Linked DNA regions of Arabidopsis thaliana. The protein of the gene in region 1 interacts with the protein of each later gene in a pairwise test. Each region holds a gene or a part of one and is shown in the gene's direction. Other genes may lie near its edges.

What was found. The genes of interacting proteins can lie anywhere in the genome.
Region 2: the proteins of AT5G10210 (region 1) and ABCI8 interact in a two-hybrid assay, tested with the Arabidopsis thaliana proteins (one large-scale study listed by BioGRID).
Region 3: the proteins of AT5G10210 (region 1) and ACS4 interact in a two-hybrid assay, tested with the Arabidopsis thaliana proteins (one large-scale study listed by BioGRID).

Annotation. Positions count from the first base shown.
Region 1 is NC_003076.8:3,204,406-3,207,667, forward strand, and holds AT5G10210 (nitric oxide synthase-interacting protein), read left to right. Parts: upstream 1-1,734; 5' UTR 1,735-1,830; coding exon 1,831-2,424; 3' UTR 2,425-2,574; downstream 2,575-3,262. Other genes in the region: ANN6 (annexin 6), read right to left, coding at 2,575-3,090, 3,182-3,262.
Region 2 is NC_003075.7:2,427,150-2,431,477, reverse strand, and holds ABCI8 (ATP binding cassette protein 1), read left to right. Parts: upstream 1-1,578; 5' UTR 1,579-1,692; coding exon 1,693-3,147; intron 3,148-3,261; coding exon 3,262-3,480; 3' UTR 3,481-3,708; downstream 3,709-4,328. Other genes in the region: AT4G04775 (zinc ion binding protein), read right to left, coding at 1-123, 194-358; AT4G04760 (Major facilitator superfamily protein), read right to left, coding at 3,709-3,851, 3,956-4,070, 4,313-4,328. UniProt on the Arabidopsis thaliana protein: Involved in light signaling, probably by mediating the transport and correct distribution of protoporphyrin IX, a chlorophyll precursor, in response to far-red light.
Region 3 is NC_003071.7:9,717,066-9,721,286, reverse strand, and holds ACS4 (1-aminocyclopropane-1-carboxylate synthase 4), read left to right. Parts: upstream 1-1,692; 5' UTR 1,693-1,814; coding exon 1,815-1,961; intron 1,962-2,063; coding exon 2,064-2,195; intron 2,196-2,262; coding exon 2,263-2,423; intron 2,424-2,511; coding exon 2,512-3,496; 3' UTR 3,497-3,685; downstream 3,686-4,221. Other genes in the region: AT2G22820 (uncharacterized protein), read left to right, coding at 1-56. UniProt on the Arabidopsis thaliana protein: 1-aminocyclopropane-1-carboxylate synthase (ACS) enzymes catalyze the conversion of S-adenosyl-L-methionine (SAM) into 1-aminocyclopropane-1-carboxylate (ACC), a direct precursor of ethylene.

The DNA of each region.
Region 1 (3,262 bases):
GAACAGAGAAGACGTTGAATGGGTTTGAGTCTTTTTTACAAGCAAGAAACTTGCTTCATGGATATCGTAAGTTTTCTTTTACTTTTTTTTTTTTTTTTCGTTTCTTTATTTAGTTTTGTGTGATTGTAGGATTTGTGGTAAAATTTTATCCATTTTGAAGGAGTAAAGAAGAAAGGAACAATTGTTTTGTTTTTTCAGTGATTTTATTTATTTTTATTTTGTGGTGTATTTATTCAGAGACAAAGAGGAGTTCCAATTTGTAAAAAAATATTTTTTCCTTATATTAAGAAATGATTTGTGATTGAGAGAGATATTTTTTTTTGGGGGTCAATGATTGGCCGAGATTGTAGATTAAAAAACATTTTAAATGGATATTCGCACGTTAGCTAATACAGTAATAAAAAATTTGTACAAAGATAGAGAATTTTTGTGGGTCTTAGCTTATTGGATTGCGATATTGTAAAGTAAAAGTTTTGAAAAATGGAAGATCTGCATTTAGTCCACCGAGGATCATATGCATAGTCGATATTGACACAAGAGTGAAATTTGATTGGAGGAAAGAGGATATGTACCAAGCCACTATTTACCTTTTTTTTACGTCAGGCTCTTGAGATGATCTTCTTAGTTTTGATGTCTTTTTGCAAATTGCAGTGACGTTTTCTAAATTGGTACACTAAGTTTAAAAATGCTGTCCTTTGGATAACTCCAACGGATGATATGAACTAAAACAATGCTGTCCTTTCATATTATGTAAGAAAACACTCACTCGGTTAACTATGAGCAACCCACTACAAGTAAGTATTGTAAAAACGTTTTTTTCTTTCAAATTCCAAGTATTTTTTAAATTTTGTAATAGAAAATAATGATTTGGGTTTTGTAAGTTAGTATTAGGATTTAGATTTTTTTAAATAGTAACGAAAGTGTTTGATAAAAAAGTAAATAGTAACGAAAGTAACCTAAATTGACATTTCCATTACCCTTGAGATGATCAAAATAAACACAATTTCTGCATGATTATGAGTTTATGACTATGCTTATTAGCAATGATTTGTTCTTTCTATAATTTAAAACCAGTTGAAACTAAAATTGTTTTTGTAAAATTTAATAGATGATATTATTAGTATACAAAACTTTTGTCAACAATGAATTGTGTGATAAGAGTTTTTTTGGAGATTTTCTTATGTAATAAAGTCTATCTTGTATGACTACAATTGATCATGGGATTCGTGGCTAATATTTTTTGTAATTATATCTTTTGAGTCAAATTCCATACTCATTTTAATATATGCAATCGAATGTATCTACTAATAATTTGTTCTTATTTAATTTGATTCTGTTGACTCTGTTCCAAAACAACTTTCGGCTATTGGATGTGTCCACGCGAAATGTAATATAATAATGATCAAGTCTTCAAAATGGCACACCTTAATTTCTTTTTGCAAATTATAAAAATTCTTTATATGGTGATCCTACGTATCTATCTAATTATCTCCCAAAACTATGGGCAAGAGTCATTATTAAAATCGACCCTTGGTCTTTTGAGATGCTCAAGAGTTTTAATTTCTAAAATATTAAGCCTTCACTAACATGATTAGAAAAAAATAAAAAGTTAAAAACATGATTAGAAATTTAGAATATTTTAATAAGTACAATGTGGAAATCTAGTGTAAACTTTCCTCGAACATTCCCCATAGATTTATATAAATAGCTAGTGAGAATTTGTTCATGCACATATTCATCACAAAGGAACTCACTGCTCTTAAATTTGCTCTAATTGTTATTACCTTGGTAAATAATATATTCTTGGTTCGATTCGAAATTTTCAAGCAAATGGGTATCGTTGAAAACATTCGTTCCCTTAAATTTGAAGTGAAAATCGTGGAAGCTAGAAACGTAGAGCTCAAGTCATCGCCAACCACTCTCTTCGTTAGGTTCTATCTCCATGCAGGGAATAACAGTAAGATTGAACTAAACACTCCAGAGATCCGTTCGAGATCAGACTGTGAGGTCATTTCCTGGAACCAATCATTCGGTCTGGAGTGCCAAGGGAACGAAACCGCGGTCGAGGAATTGAAGCAACAAAGTGTTGTTTTCGAACTACGGAGAAGGAAAACGACGCCGTTTTTGAAGAAGTGGTCGAAATCAGAGTTGGTGGGTAGAGGAAAGATTTTTTGGAAATCGGTTATAGAGACTGATGGGATGGAAATAGAGAGATTTGTAGTGATGGATGAGACAAAAGATCACGTTCTGGAAGATTGTGATAAGCATAAACCTCTTTTGTTGAAGATAGCTTTAAAAGTGCAAGCTTCAAAAATCGTGAACACTAAGAGAGTGGAAGATCTTTGTGAGTGTAAAGATTGTAGAACATGTAACTGCGTAGATTATGAAGCTTTTGTTGTAGCTTGTGCGTTAGCTGGGATTTAGTTTGTAAGAATAAAATTTAAAGAAGAGATGATTCAAAGAAACCAGAATAAGTTGTTGCAGTAAAATGTAAAAACTAAGGACCAAAGTTCAAAGAAAATGAAAAACAAATAACAACTGTCTTATAAAAGACTATGAAACGATGATGTTGTTTCAAGCATGGTCATGTCCAAGAAGGGCGAGAAGCATATCCTTGTAGTCACCAGAAGTGTCATTAGCAATGGCTCGATCAAGAGGAACACTGTTCCTGCGTAAGTATTCTTCTTTGATCCGCTCCAGGTCGACCTCTGCTCTTGTAGTGACCACTCTAGTAAGTGCCCACTCGTCTGTTCCCATCCTGTTGATGGCTCGACGTAGAACCTTCTCAAAGTACTTCTCTGGATATGTCAAGCATTTGATCGCGGTTTTGAGTAATTGAACATAATCATCGTTCGAATCTTCTTTGAGAAACTTGTTAATGGAACTTCCAAACTTGTCCTTGAAGTGATTGAGTGTTGCATTGATCTGTGCTTTGCTCCTTGTTGTCAAGATTCTGATGAGATCTTCATCAGTGTAAGCCTTCTCAGTGATCTTCTTGTGAAGTGTCTTAGCTTCGGATCTAGCCAGCTTCACGTTGACCTCATCAGCATTTCCATCGTACCTGAAGGTGCTCACAAGAGGAACCAATAGCTGCATTTTTACAAGTGGTCAAAACAAAACAACATATCATCAGAAACTTACTAATTGGTTTAAAGAATGATATACATAAATCTTTCACTACCTTTCGGATATTTCCAGATGTATGGTATGCAACATCTTCCTCGAGAGAGGTCTTGTAGCGAACATGGTATGCTTGCTTGGT
Region 2 (4,328 bases), on another chromosome or scaffold:
CATCACGTTCATTCTGAGGTCACTAATATTCTCTACAACTCTCTTACACTTCTCATTTACCATCTTAATTTCGTCCAAGAGAGCTTCATCAACCCATTTGAACAAGTGCTCTTCATTTTCTCTCTATAAAACATAATTTCCAATCATTTACTCCTTCAATCAATCAAATATATCACAAAATCGAAATGTGTACCTTCATTGCTATCGCACAACGGTAGAATCTCCGGTATGGATTCTCCTTTGTTTTCGATGTGAATGTAATGATCTCTTCTCCACACCAACATTTCGAGGGGACACCAGGAGGACAGACACGAAATCCTGAACTGGAAGCGGATGAGTAGTAGCTGTTGGTGCTCATTTTCTTATAAAATTGTCGAATGAAGAACCCTAATCGACCAAATCGATTTTGCAGAAGAAGAAGAATGAAAACGACGTCGTTTTCTTTCTCTTTTTGATGAGTTAAACGAAATGAAAACGACGTCGTTTTCTTAACGGGTCTGGGTATTAGTCGGGTTAATCGCAATCGCGGTACAGTAAACGCGGATTTGTGGTTAATCCCGGTTAAATGAATGGTTCAATTGGAAATGTATGTTTAAGCATGAATCCGAAAGTAGATGATGTAATTTTGGGAATATGAAAGTTGATGGTGGAAATTTAAGGGCCCAAAAGTCCGGGGGTGAAAGCTGAGAATCGAAATAGTTTATGGCTCGAAAATCAGCTAACCCAAGTAGAATCGATACTGATTGTGTCTAGTGCTTTAATTATCTCTAGTAGATCTTCAAGGTTTATGCCTTGTCCCTAGTACATTTTGCTATCTCGGTCTGGTGGGTGAGGTGTGATGGTGTTTGTACTTATGTCTCTGGTTTCAGCGGCTTCTTGCTTTCCTCTCTGTCGATTTACTATTAGTTTTGACTTCGGTGTAAAATCTATCCGATCTTATTGGTGTTTCCGGCGTTCACATTTTTTAGGAGAAGTTTAGGTCTTATTTTTCCCATAGTTTTTTATTTTCTTTTGAATTTTGTCTCTTGATTCAATTTCGTTGGTTTAAAATGTTTCCTTATATATGTTTTTGGTTTTACTTCCTTTTTTTCAGCTAAGTTTCTCAAAATATTCCGTTGGTCTGTTGGCTTATGTATTTCAACTTGTATTCTACTTTAGTTTCTAATATAATTCAGATGAGAAAAAAAAAGAATTAAAACTGATTTCAGTGTACCAAACTAAACTGAAATGAATGAACCAACAAATTTTAAAATAAAATATTATTAAGTTTTTGAAATAAAAGATCAAACTAATTTTTTTTTTCATTAACAAAAACAAGAAACCAACCCGTAAATCGGATTATAAAATATCTAATATCTTTGTTTGTTTTGTCCAAGTATAAAAAATATCTAATATCTAAAAGAGATTTTTAACAAATAAAGAAGAGATCAACGTTATTTTTTTTTTATAATTAGTTAGTGGAAAACGTATGTGGTTTATAATTGAGCTGAAAAGTGAAAATCCAACAAAAAAATCGTCTCGTGGCTGACACGAGACTATCTTCAATCTACGGCTCAGAAAATTCCATAAATATTAACATTTCATCTCTTCTTCATTTTTTTCCTAATCGTTGTTTTTTTTCTAACACACGACTCCAAAAAAAAAAAAAAAAACAATCTTCTTTTACTTCTCCTAAGAGCCACACCAACAACAATGGCGTCTCTTCTCGCAAACGGTATCTCCAGCTTCTCTCCACAACCCACTTCCGATTCCTCAAAATCACCAAAAGGGTTTCACCCAAAACCCGAATCCTTAAAATTCCCATCTCCCAAATCCCTAAATCCAACGAGACCGATCTTCAAACTCAGAGCCGATGTTGGAATCGATTCTCGTCCCATCGGAGCTTCTGAATCATCATCATCAGGTACATCAACCGTTAGCTCAACTGATAAACTTCAACAGTATTTCCAAAATCTCGATTACGATAAGAAGTACGGATTCGTTGAAGATATCGATTCCTTCACAATCCCTAAAGGTTTATCTGAAGAGACGATTCGTTTGATTTCGAAATTGAAAGAGGAACCAGATTGGATGCTTGAGTTTAGGTTCAAAGCTTATGCTAAGTTTCTGAAACTAGAAGAACCTAAATGGTCAGATAATAGATATCCTTCGATTAATTTCCAGGATATGTGTTATTACTCTGCTCCTAAAAAGAAACCAACTTTGAATAGTTTAGATGAAGTTGATCCTCAGCTTCTTGAGTATTTCGATAAGTTAGGTGTTCCTTTAACAGAGCAGAAACGTTTGGCTAATGTCGCGGTTGATGCGGTTATCGATAGTGTTTCGATTGCTACTACTCATAGGAAGACTTTAGAGAAGTCTGGTGTTATCTTCTGTTCGATATCTGAAGCTATTAGGGAGTATCCGGATTTGATTAAGAAGTATTTAGGTAGAGTTGTGCCTAGTGATGATAATTACTACGCTGCTTTGAACTCTGCGGTTTTCAGCGATGGGTCTTTCTGTTATATACCGAAGAACACTAGATGTCCGATGCCTATTTCGACTTATTTCCGGATTAACGCGATGGAGACTGGTCAGTTCGAGAGGACTTTGATTGTTGCTGAGGAAGGGAGTTTTGTTGAGTATTTAGAAGGATGTACTGCTCCTTCTTATGATACGAATCAGCTTCATGCTGCTGTGGTTGAGCTCTATTGTGGGAAAGGAGCTGAGATTAAGTACTCCACGGTGCAGAATTGGTATGCTGGGGATGAACAAGGTAAAGGTGGGATTTATAATTTTGTCACAAAGCGTGGTCTTTGCGCTGGGGATCGTTCCAAGATCTCGTGGACTCAGGTTGAGACAGGGTCTGCGATAACTTGGAAGTACCCGAGCGTGGTTTTAGAAGGCGATGATTCTGTTGGCGAGTTTTACTCCGTGGCATTGACTAATAACTATCAGCAAGCTGATACAGGGACTAAGATGATTCACAAAGGAAAGAATACCAAAAGTAGAATCATTTCAAAGGGAATTTCGGCCGGGCATTCGAGAAATTGTTACCGTGGTCTTGTTCAGGTGCAGTCCAAAGCTGAGGGTGCTAAAAATACTTCGACTTGCGACTCAATGCTTATCGGAGACAAAGCAGCTGCAAATACCTATCCTTACATCCAGGTAAATTGCCAATGATCCAATCTTTATTATAAGCTATGAGAAAGCTGTAAAGTTTTTTGCTCTTTTGTGATTGATTTCCACTTTTGTTTTGTGGTTGGTCTGGAACAATAACAGGTAAAGAATCCATCGGCGAAAGTAGAGCACGAAGCGAGTACCTCTAAGATTGGAGAAGATCAGCTATTCTATTTCCAGCAGAGAGGAATCGATCACGAGAGAGCATTAGCGGCAATGATCTCTGGTTTCTGCAGAGATGTTTTCAACAAGTTACCTGATGAGTTTGGAGCTGAAGTTAACCAGCTTATGAGCATCAAGCTTGAAGGATCAGTGGGTTAAAACAAAACTCATAATTACAGAACAGCAAAAAAAAAGGGGTGGTCTTTGTGCTTCTTCTCAATAAAGCTTTTCTTCTGAGTAAAACTTTGTATTATTTTGTAATGTTTTGGTAGTTTCATGTGAATCTTGTGAAAGGTGTTTGTTAATATTTGTGAATCACGTAAAAACTATATTGCAATAAACTTTTTTTGTTTACATACTTCTATCTTATACAGTTGTGGGAGAAGTTTAGAAAATTGTAGAATCTTGAGGAGGAGAATCAGTGAAAAGAGATTGAATCTCTTCTAGAGATTTGCCTTTGGTCTCTGGAACAAGCTTGGCTATGAACACAAATCCAAGGCCAGCCACTGTGGCAAACATCAGAAATGTTCCTGCAACAAAGACTTTTAGTTAACAACTCTCTTTTCAAAATTCAGAAATTGTAACCAAATCAACTTTTTGTCAACTTTAGTTCAATTGTATTAAAGATTTTTACCTGTGGAGCTCCATTGAAGCAAGTAACTGAAGGAATAAGCAACAAGCCATGCGCTTATAGAGCTGACCAAGTTACACATTGTTCCCGCTGCTCCCTTAACATCTACTGGATAAATCTTGAAAAGAAAATAAAAACATTAAGAGGGATGTATTCAATCTAGTATTTTAAGTTATTTGTGTAAAATTTACAAATCCGATGTTATTCAATCACGGATTTTAAAAACTCTAATGAAATTCAGTGTTATTGAACTAATGATTTAAAAATCTAGATGTATGCGATACATAATTGTTATAATGAGTGTAACATAATTTAAATGTCTGCGATATATTTTTAAACTTTTTTTAAATATTTATTTACCTCTGATGCTATGATC
Region 3 (4,221 bases), on another chromosome or scaffold:
GACAAAATATCCGAAAAGTCGGGACGGCTAACTACCGAAAAATATTCGGTCGATGAAACTTAATGTTTATGTAATGATTAATATGTTTCACAATAAATATTATCATTTTTGAATAAATTTTTGTTTTGAAATATTTATCGTTTTAGGATTCCAATATCGCTTTGATTAGAAATATATAGTTTGTTCCTTCTTATAATCAATAAACAAGTAATATGTTGGAAGTCCAAAAGCCAATTTATTGTTTGGGAGGTAAAATATCTGGACTTATTTTATAAAAATTCTGAATTTATTTTTGAATACCGTTTATAAATAAAAGAATGTTTTGTAACAACGACACTTTATTATTTAGGCGTGTATTAGAAATTTTTCTTTAGTTTGTGTGAACATCTTTACAGCCATATTTATATTGGAAATGCATTAAGGAGTTGTAGATTATAGTAGTAATTAATTGTTCATATTTAAGCCACAAAAAACATATGTTAATTAGCGGAAAGCATACCTCGTAAATGACATGTTTGTCTTAACTGTGAGCACTCACTTGGTGTTGTTAAGCTTTGAAAATGATCATATCAAAGTAAGCATTGTCGTAGTATATGTATTTCTGTTACTTTTCAAATCTTCCCTCATATTATATAGCCATTGATATCATAGAGGATGTGAGTTTTAACTTAATATTTACCCGTTTGAAACTAGCTATTTACTTAAATATGAATTATAATCTAGTTTAACTACCAAAAACATCATATGGGGACAAGAAAAAGTAATAAAACGTATGGAAAATTTTGTAGATGTTATAAATGGATAATTATTCAAGTGATAATCTATCACTTTGATCTTATCTCTTTATCCAATTTAATTACTTTGTCTCTAAGTGATTTGCTTCCAAAATCTAAGTGTAGTCTATCCTATTTCTATCTTATCCTATCATATAATCTTCTATATATATGTGAGTCCGATGTTGTAAAGCGTACGAGAGAGAGTAATGAAGAGTGAAGTGTTATATTGTTCTCTCGTCCACTTCCACTCTCTCTTTTATCTCTTACTTACTTCTTCGTAAGATCATTACATATAATAAATAATATTATTTATGTTTGTGTTATATTTAATAACAGTAAAAAGTTTTAAAACGTTGAAAAAATTAGCCGACATAGAATACAAAAGAGGGTTAGCATCGGGGGAGAAACGTGGACCAACATGATACACCCTCCAAAATAGTCCCCAAGTTGAAACATTGACATGTTTCGCTTTTTCTTTTCTGTGTATACTTTTTTTTTCTGTGGGTCACATTATTTAATATTTGTATACAAGCAGCTATTTTACATGGAGATTTCCTGTCGGTATAGCGTCCTCATTTCTCCATCGCTTCCACTTTTTTCCTATACTAATTTGATCTAATTAATTCATATGTCAAAACATTAAGAAAATGAAACTCGTAATTCATACTTGAATTTAATAGATTAATTAAAATGCTATTTATTGGCAAAATAAACTCGGTTTATATCTAAATTTTAGAATCACTAAAACTTTTTGCCCAAAAAAAAATAAAAATAAATCACTAAAACAAAAAACAATCAAAAGAAAACCCATGTTGGTAAATCGGATAATGAAAATAATTAGAATCCCCGTCCTTTGTGTATTTTGGCGTAGCATGAAACTATATAATAAACATGCATTCATTCTTAGACTTCTCGTAGCTTATCAACAACAACGCGCTCGATCTCTCTCAGCCTGTCTGACAACTCTTTCTCTAGTTCTAGAGTTTTCAATTTATTGTTGAGCCTTTTATTAAAAAAAAAAAAACAAGAACAAAAGAAATGGTTCAATTGTCAAGAAAAGCTACATGCAACAGCCATGGCCAAGTCTCTTCGTATTTCCTTGGTTGGGAAGAGTACGAGAAGAATCCTTACGACGTTACCAAGAACCCTCAAGGCATTATCCAGATGGGTCTTGCGGAAAATCAGGTAAACAAATATTATTCAACAGCATGTGATATATATATACTTATGTATATCATGACAGAGAGACTAATTTAAAGTATGTTTAATTTTATTGGATTTCTGTAGCTATGCTTTGATCTACTAGAGTCATGGCTTGCACAAAACACAGACGCAGCCTGTTTCAAGAGAGATGGCCAGTCTGTTTTCCGGGAACTCGCTCTCTTTCAAGACTACCATGGCCTCTCTTCCTTCAAAAATGTAAGATTATTAATTGTATTTATCAAATTTATTTGTAGGTTGCTGATCTTGCTCGAATGATTTTCAGGCCTTTGCTGATTTCATGTCAGAAAATAGAGGAAATCGAGTTTCTTTTGATTCAAACAACCTTGTGCTCACTGCTGGAGCCACTTCCGCAAACGAGACTCTAATGTTTTGTCTTGCAGATCCCGGTGACGCTTTCTTGCTTCCCACGCCATATTATCCAGGGTTAGTCCACTGTTTGCTTACACGTAAAATTTCCATCATTCCTACGAACTTGACTTAACTAAAACTCATGTTTATTTTTGTACTTCAGGTTTGATAGGGATCTAAAATGGCGAACCGGGGTTGAGATTGTACCAATCCAAAGCTCAAGTACTAACGGGTTTCGCATAACGAAACTTGCACTCGAAGAAGCCTACGAGCAAGCCAAGAAGCTTGACCTAAACGTCAAAGGAATACTCATCACCAACCCATCTAACCCTTTGGGTACGACAACAACCCAAACCGAACTCAACATTCTATTTGATTTCATCACCAAGAATAAGAATATACATTTAGTAAGTGACGAGATATATTCGGGCACAGTATTCAACTCTTCAGAATTCATCAGCGTCATGGAGATTCTAAAAAATAATCAACTCGAAAACACCGATGTTTTGAACCGAGTCCACATTGTTTGTAGCTTATCTAAAGATCTAGGCCTCCCTGGTTTTAGAGTTGGAGCCATTTACTCCAATGACAAAGATGTCATCTCTGCCGCTACAAAAATGTCAAGTTTCGGCCTTGTCTCCTCCCAGACACAATACCTACTATCCTCATTATTATCTGACAAGAAGTTCACTAAGAACTACCTTAGAGAGAACCAAAAACGGCTCAAGAACAGACAGAGAAAGCTCGTGTTGGGTCTAGAGGCCATCGGGATCAAATGTCTGAAGAGTAATGCGGGACTCTTTTGTTGGGTCGACATGAGACCTCTCCTTAGATCTAAAACGTTCGAAGCGGAAATGGATCTTTGGAAGAAGATTGTTTACGAAGTGAAGCTCAACATCTCTCCTGGTTCGTCGTGCCATTGTGAAGAACCGGGTTGGTTTAGAGTTTGTTTCGCGAACATGATTGATGAGACATTAAAGCTTGCTTTAAAGAGATTGAAGATGTTGGTTGATGATGAAAACTCAAGTAGAAGATGCCAAAAGAGTAAAAGCGAAAGACTAAACGGTTCGAGGAAGAAGACGATGTCAAATGTCTCTAACTGGGTTTTCCGACTATCGTTTCACGACCGTGAGGCTGAGGAACGATAGTCCGGTTTTTGTTTTGAAGTTCTTTTTTTTTGTTTCCCACACATTGCAAGTGATTCTGTAATTTTTTTTATCACGAGAGAGAGTGTAAAAAAATGGAAATGCAACGTGCTTACTCTGATCCTAGATTTTAGAAAACCGTTGAAGACTTCTTAGAGCAAGTCCATCGGCAGTTTTTAATGGGTTTCTAATGGGTTTCTAGCTAATTAAAAGTCCAAAATTAAATGAAAACCCAACTAAATAATTAGGATCCATCCCAATATTAGGTTTTTTGGATGGGTTTTTAGACGGCGACGTGGTCGACTGTGAGTCGTCGGAAAACAAAAAAAATCACAACACTCATGTTTTCCTTTTTCCTCTCGTTTTTCACTTTTTTGTTTTGTCCGACGGCCGGCGATTCGAATCGATTTGATCTCCGGTGTATCGAACATGAAATCGGGAGAGAAGAGCCAAATCATCGACGACTTGGTTCACCAATTCCATTCTTCGAACCATACTCATATAAGAGTTTCTTGGCTTCTCTCTAAAACTCTTCTAATTTTCTGATATTGTTGATTATACATCCTTACCCGGATGTGAAGCCAATGGCATATGCAAACAATGATTAAAAATGTTTTCTCTTCCTTTAAGCTTATCCAGCAACAGTTATTCTCATGTAGATTCAGTTTTTCCCTTTTTCAAATTTTTTTGTTTTAAAAACCCACTTAAAGATTCCACCAATGAACCAT